Linked DNA regions of Rattus norvegicus. The protein of the gene in region 1 purifies or fractionates together with the protein of each later gene. This does not show direct contact. Links are inferred from orthologs where the notes say so. Each region holds a gene or a part of one and is shown in the gene's direction. Other genes may lie near its edges.

What was found. The genes of interacting proteins can lie anywhere in the genome.
Region 2: the proteins of Mbip (region 1) and Kat2b purify together in Homo sapiens (affinity purification with mass spectrometry; 4 studies listed by BioGRID and IntAct, counting the BioPlex papers as one, with this or other methods). This does not show direct contact. The link is inferred for Rattus norvegicus from reciprocal best matches to the Homo sapiens genes MBIP and KAT2B.

Annotation. Positions count from the first base shown.
Region 1 is NC_086024.1:79,553,952-79,557,604, reverse strand, and holds part of Mbip (MAP3K12-binding inhibitory protein 1), read left to right. Parts: intron 1-639; coding exon 640-759; intron 760-2,447; coding exon 2,448-2,666; intron 2,667-2,754; coding exon 2,755-2,851; intron 2,852-3,653. UniProt on the Homo sapiens protein: Inhibits the MAP3K12 activity to induce the activation of the JNK/SAPK pathway. Component of the ATAC complex, a complex with histone acetyltransferase activity on histones H3 and H4.
Region 2 is NC_086027.1:6,879,082-6,882,734, forward strand, and holds part of Kat2b (histone acetyltransferase KAT2B), read left to right. Parts: intron 1-320; coding exon 321-457; intron 458-3,653. UniProt on the Homo sapiens protein: Functions as a histone acetyltransferase (HAT) to promote transcriptional activation. Has significant histone acetyltransferase activity with core histones (H3 and H4), and also with nucleosome core particles.

The DNA of each region.
Region 1 (3,653 bases):
GGAAACATTGGGCATCCACTTTTGGCTTTGTTAACACTGCTGTGGGAAAGTACTTGTTTTTTTAACCTCAATAATTTCATAACTGATAATTAGATTTTTATTTGTAATTACTGTCATCTATCCCTATGTGTGAATAATCTTTAGTTTTAAATTTTTAATTGGTTAAATTTGAAAACAATAAGAGTGATTGAGAAGACATCAGGGTAATGACTTATTTTAGGCATGTGTTTGTGTGATACGTAACAAAGAGAATACTTTCTGGAAGGCAGTAGTTGATCTCCGTCTGTTGAATGCCTAGGATTCTGATTAGGGCAGACCTATTTTTGGATACCTTCCAAAGGTATTTAAGATATCAAAGTATCAAAAGAGGCTATGGCTTCTCAAAGATGGCCCTATTATACAGACGTAGAAACCAAATTAAAATAATAAGACATGTTTTTATCTTTTTTATTTTCAAAGCTGTGCCTTTTAGCTTTTTAAAATAGCAACTACAGAAAGCATTTTATTATGTCATTGAAACTTAGTAACTTGAGCAAAATAGGCATGCATTACTCTATAGAAATCTTATTTTTGTGATAATCCCAGATATATAGCTTAATCGTGTAATTTTTGTGATGTTGCTACTTTGCCTCTTTGAAGCTTAACCTCAGAGATGATGTGGTGAAAATTACAATCGATTGGAACAGGCTCCAGAGCCTCTCAACATCCCAGCCTGCACTGCTCCTTACTGCACTTGAACAACACGTTTTGTATTTACAGGTAAATTTCATATTAGAATGTTTACTGGATATTCAAAATAGAAATTAACTGTAGTTTAATTAGCTGGAGTATTTTTCAGTTCTACCTCAACATTCTGTTAACAATAACTGTTATTAGTAAAAGGTTGCAGAAATCCATATTGAGTCTAGGTCTGTTAATTTCACTAGTGATTGGGATAGTTATGAGAATATAGCCCAACAGACCGATGTGGGTTTGAGAGTGAATAAATGCAATTCTATTCAATTCTGGGCTTTGCTGAAAATTCAATACAGTTCATCTATGGTGGGTTATAATTAAGCAATAAGACGCGGCAGGTGTGAGTCATGCTATGATAATGATTCCATGCCTTGGGTGAGTTGGGAGGCTCATGGAGTGCTTTCAGTGGTTCAAGAAGTGGCATTATCCCAGCATGACACATCCTGGAGTGTCTATTGCAATTAAACAGTTTCAGCGTAGTTTTTAAAAAGAAAGTAATTTCTGTGACATTAATGTTTCATCTTAGTGAGTAGCCAGTCACTATTTCATCTTAATAATTTGAAATAATTTATCCTTTATTGGAAGTCAATATTGAATTATTTATCATGGTATTGTTACACTTTTAATATTTCAGCTTGAGAAACGAACAGTATTATAGCCTTGCTGCTGTTGTTGAACATCTCTGCAAGTGTAATTGATGTGAGTTAGAGCTTTTCTCTCATCAGGACAAGCAGAACTGTTTTTCCTGGTCACTTTACTGTGTCGAAGATGTTAGAAGATTTCAAAAGAGTACTTGGCATAGCAAACAATAGAAACAAAATTGTATGAAAAGATGATCAGGATATTGTTTAGAAATAATGTGTTAATTTTCAGCCCTGAATTCATTGACTTTCTGGGAACATTTAACTGTGTTTCATGATAAAAATAACAGTTAACAATTTGTCTAAAGGGCAGGTGATGAGCTATAGAACTCAAATGTGGACCATGTCAGGGTGGGGATGACGAGGAACAGTGGAAGTGAATTTCTATTATGAAGACATATTTTCCTTAAACCTACTGTAGTTGGAGTGATTTGTTTCCAGCTCTTTCTTCCTTTCTTTCTTCCTTTCTTTCCTTCCTTCTTCACTTCATGTGCATTTGCTCTTGTGAAGTTTCATTTCCTGACCCAATAAGATCCTTGCTATGTCAGAGAAGGCTGAGTGTTCACTCAGGGTAACACCTGGTATACTTCATATCCGTGCCCTCATTCATCGTGGCCCACTGTACTTTGAAGTGGAGAATCTCAGCGATGCAGTGATAATGCAGGGCTTTGCTGAGTGAGCACTGCTCTCCTGCTAAGGACGGAGAACACTCAAGCTAGTGTTCTGAATGACATGTTAATTAAGAGGCATCCAGGCCAGAGACTGAGGCTTTGATTTAGCACAAAATAAAAGATGAATGACAGAATGATTTCCTCAAAGAAAAATTTAAATGTCCTCAGGTTTTCTTTCTTGTCTTCTTTTTAAAAAATAATGTACAGCAAGCGATAAGGGCTATACAGTAGTAGAAAATAGCAAACCTGTGTGTGGTCAGACCTGCGGCGTGTCCTGTGTGCCACCAGCTTTTCATATTTAATAACTGGTAATACTCATTTATGTAGCAGCAGCTTATACAAACCTATCACTAGTTGAGATGAGTTTGAACCTGAGCAGATGTCACTGTGTTCTTTTCAGCCTTTTTTAGCAAAACTTCAGTCTTTAATTAAAGAGAATTCAACAGCTGCAGAACTAAGACAAACAGAAGCAGAGACCAAGAGTGAACTAAGAGCCAAACTTCCCACTGGGGACCTACAAGATGAAGGAAAGCTCAAAGACGATGATTTAGGGGATGTGAAAAAGACACAAATCCATTTTGATCCAGAAGTAGTTCAAATAAAGGCTGGAAAAGCGGAAGTAAGTTTGGGCTGGTACAAGGATCAGGGTAATATTACTTTTAAAAGTTCTGTTATGTTTAGATTGTTAAATTATTTGTTGTTTATAGATTGACAGACGAATATCTGCATTTATTGAGAGAAAACAAGCTGAAATCAATGAAAACAACGTCAGGGAATTTTGCAATGTTATTGATTGTAATCAAGGTAACTAGAAGTTTTTTTAAATAGAATTTTAAACATTTTGACAACTGATGTAATATTTTGTTTTAAAAATGCATAACAAAAACAAGATTCAGTCTTACAGGTTTTTAGTTGGTAATTAAGGCAGTAGAATTTTCCTTTATTTAGTGACGGGCCCTGTTGCCAAGCTGATTTTCATTTTGGTTACACAAAACATCAAGTGAAGGCCGAACTCTAGAGACAGATATTTACCACAAGTCCGAGAAGATCAAAGTTTCTTTAGAGAATGAAGGTGAAATGTTGGATGACAGAGTTGTTTAGATTTGCTGTTAGGAGAAGACAAAGGATTATGAACTTGAGGTCTGTAAATGTACCTGTGAAATTATGTTAATTCAGTGAGCCTAGTAGCAGTAATAGCATTCCTCAGGAGGGAGCAGTTTTCTCTTTACTCCTGAGTTTCATGATGCACCCAGCTTGTCACGAAGACCTGTGGAGCCCTAGGCCTTTCCCTTTTTCACATCGCATACCTTTGCTGTTTCTCCTCAGTCTCCTTGTCCTCTTCACTTGATGCTACAGTGTTTCCAGGTCTGCAGTATACCTACAGAATACCATATACTGTGTAGATTGCCATAGATCATAATCAGTTATCCTTGTAAAAAATTATGGAGAAAGGTTTGTAATTGGGCTGAACGTCTTATTGCCATTAATATCTCTTAGTGATTATAAACATAAAATTGCCCATTGAACCTGGAAGTGACTCAGAATCACATTGATATGTGATGCTCTTAACATAATAATGTGGGCTCACTGCAGATGCTAAGTTAAA
Region 2 (3,653 bases), on another chromosome or scaffold:
ATGCACGCAGGCAAAACACCAATGCCCATGACATAAAAGTCAATAACAAAATTAAGGTTAAGAAACATGCTTTAATAACTCATATGCCAAGTTGAAAGTCATCTTAGAAAATAGGCAATCTTTAAGATAGACCTGGAATGGGCAGTCTCCCTTCTCAACCTTCACTACCACCCTTTCTCCTCCTGGAATAGCCAGGGATACATGGCAAGACCTTGTCTCACTCCATGTCTCCTCCCAAATAAGTTAGATTCATCAGTATGTATTTTCCATTTCAAACCATCCTTTTTTTTTTCTTTTGCCTTTTATTTTGAACATCACAGGAGAAAAGAGGAAAATGAACAACTCTCATGCTCCAGAGGAGGCCAAGCGATCTCGAGTGATGGGGGATATTCCTGTGGAACTGATCAGTGAAGTTATGTCTACCATCACAGACCCTGCAGGGATGCTTGGACCAGAGGTCAGCAGCTGGGAGGGCCTTCTGGTCGCCCTGCCGTAAGAGCTGTCAGAGCTGAGGGTGGGGTACTGAGAACACACTGCTGGTCACCTGTAACCTGGAGATCGATCACTGTAGGGAGGGCAGGAATGGCTAACTAAGATGTGGTTCCCTTCGATGAATATCAGTTATGGGGCCACAAACTACAGTTTCAAGTAGTTGGAAACTTTTCCACATTGGAGAATTTCAAGCCTCCCTCAGCAATGAAAAAAAAAAAAAAGTAACCAAACAACAACAACAACTACAACAAAAACCCAAGAATCAAAACCAAAAACAAAAGCCCCCCCCCCCCCCCCAAAAAAAACACCCAAACCCCACAGAGTGTGTTGAGCCTGCAGATTTATCAGGGGTCACCTCCCATTTCCCTTTCTTTACCTCCTTTCTCCTCTCCTGTGAACCCTTTAGAATCATTTCACAGCTCCAAACAGATGTAATAATACCTCATACCTCGTGCATTTGCTTGTGTCTTGTACTAAAGCAATTCTCTTAGATAATCACCTGAGCTAGCACTCAGGGAATTTAACTTCATTATAAGGTTCTCTGGCTTAGGGTTGGCAGACTGCAGCCTACCAGTCATAGCTGCTATTCAACTTATGGGCTCAAGTAATTCTGTGTCAGCTTCTAACTGGCTGGGAGGAAAGGTGTGTCCCAGCAGATTGGGCTTGTAATAGCTCTTATGGCATGTGTGTCTTGCAAAACAAAATGTTTATCTCTTGACTTCACTGGAAAGTTTGCTGACTTGTGGCCTAATTTTCAACCCCTGTGTCTAATGACCATCTTACCAATTCATGCTATTCATAACATGCATTATTGTTGGAGACCCAGTTAAGAACCAAGTATGGCATTCAGTTTTCATTTCTTCATCTTTTTATCTTCTTTCTCTGGTCCTTTCTTTGTTTCTTTGTTTCCTTCCTTCCGTCCTTCCTTCCCTCCCTTTCTTCCCTCCCTTTCTTTTTCTTTCTTTCTTTCTTCTTCTTCTTTTTTTTTTTTTTTTTTTTTTTGGCTGGTCTCATGTGGTCGAGGCTGATCTTGGACTCACTGTATAGCCAGGATTAATGACCTTGAACCACACTGCTAGGTTCATGAGGTGCCGGGGATCACATCCAGGGATTGCCACATCCCAGCAAGCATCTGACCTGTGAGCCATATCCCAGGCTCCTTAGTCTCCTTTAACTCAAAGCCTTTCCTCTTCTCTTACAATGTTGCCTTTGTTGAGGGGCCTCGTTAGCGAGTTATTCATAATGTCTCTGTCTGGATCTGTGTGACAGTTTAGATCAATCCAGGTAAAATATCTTAGTTAAAAGTATTGCTCTTGTCTCATTGCAAGACATCCAGGAACAGGGAGGCTTAAGACATTTCCAGGAAATGAAGACATAGCCTGAGTACTAGTGTATACACAGCGTCTGTCTTTTGGGTGTGGCTCTGATAGATTAAATTAGTAAGTTTCATACTGCGCTGTCTTCGTGGCTCTTTTATTAGTGCCAAGGATAATTTGGAGAATTGATTGTTGCAACAGAACCATCTCATAAAGTTCTTTCCTTCCAGTCTGTGGGGGGCAAATGCTGACCTCCTCCTGTGTGTAGGCTTTAGGGATTTCATAGCTTCACACATGAGCAGAGCATGGCCTGCTCAGAGGAAAGTGGGGAGGCAGTCACCCATTTCACAATCCTTGTTGCAGTTAGTAGAGTACTAGTATGCCCAAGAAAGCCACTAACGATGTAGACATTTTTGTAAGCTAGTTGTTAAATGCCTTGGATGCTTGAAATGCCTACCACAGTGGTTGATACCCAGTAACCTGGACGACCAGCCAAAGCCCTCAAAGATAGTGCTATAGTTAGGACTTTTCTGCCCAGCACAGCTGTTTGCCAAAGACTTCCTCGCCCAGCATAAGGTGAATTAAAGCATGAGGTGCTGGCTCTAGGCCATGCAGCCTGCTGTGAGTTAAGTCTGGATCAATAGATACTTCTAGAAAGAAAAGTATCTTCCAAAAAAGAGGTGCTGAGAATATAAAAATGACTGCTTTTTTTTTTTTCCGGAGCTGGGGACCGAACCCAGGGCCTTACGCTTGCTAGGCAAGCGCTCTACCACTGAGCTAAATCCCCAGCCCCAAATGACTGCTGTTTTATGGTGCGTTTCAAGAGTTTAGAACCTGTTGTCTTAATGATATTTAATTAATTATTATTATTTTTTATTTTCATTGCTTTTATGTTGTTATTATGTTGTGTGAGTGAGTCACTCTTGTATAGAGGCTAGGGGACAACTTTCAGTAGTCAGTTCTCTCCTTTAGTTGTGGATTCTGGGCCTCAAACTGAAGTCATCAGTTTTGTGCAGTGAACACCTTCGCCTGATACTCCATCGTATTGGTTCTCTCCTTAAAATGAACACCGACTTACTTAATGTGCCTGTGTGTATGTGTGTTCATGCACCTGTGGAGACACCATGCCATGGTGTGAATACGGAGCTTAGAGAGGCCAGTATGAAGGGATGGTCTTTGTCCAGGCATTGAACTTAGGTTGTCAGGTTTCGTGTCATGCACCCTTACCTGCTAAGCCACTGATCTCCCAATTCAGAATTTTTACATGTATTTTTGTTTACTTATGACATATGTCTGAGTATATGCCATATATGTGTGGCTGCCCACAGAAGTCAGAAAGGGGCATTGGCTGGCTGGAGCTGTAGGCACTTGTGAGCCTCCCAGTATGGGTGCTTGAAAACAAGCTTGGGTCCCTGTAGGACAGCAGGCATTGTGAACTGCTGAGCCTTTTCTCCAGCTCTTCTACCCTCCTTAAAGTTGGAAAATCATGCCAAGTGTTCTATACTAGTGTGGCTATGTCTGCTTGTATGCTACAACAGCAGCTGAGTTGTTGAGAGAGACCATGTCATTAAAAATAGCTAAAATATTTTATTTTATTGTTTACATTATGTGCATATGTGTCTCTCTGTGTGGGATTATGTATATGTGCAAATGCAGGTGCCCAAAGAGGCCAGGAAAGGATGTCAGATACTCTGGCCTGGAGTTACAGGCAGTTGTGAGCTCCCAGTGTGTTTTCTGTAGGACCCACACTCGGGTCCTCTCGAAGAGCAGTGCATATTCTTAACCACAGAGCCATCTTTCTAACACTCTACAATATTGTCTTAAAAATAACTTTTGTGTTGATAC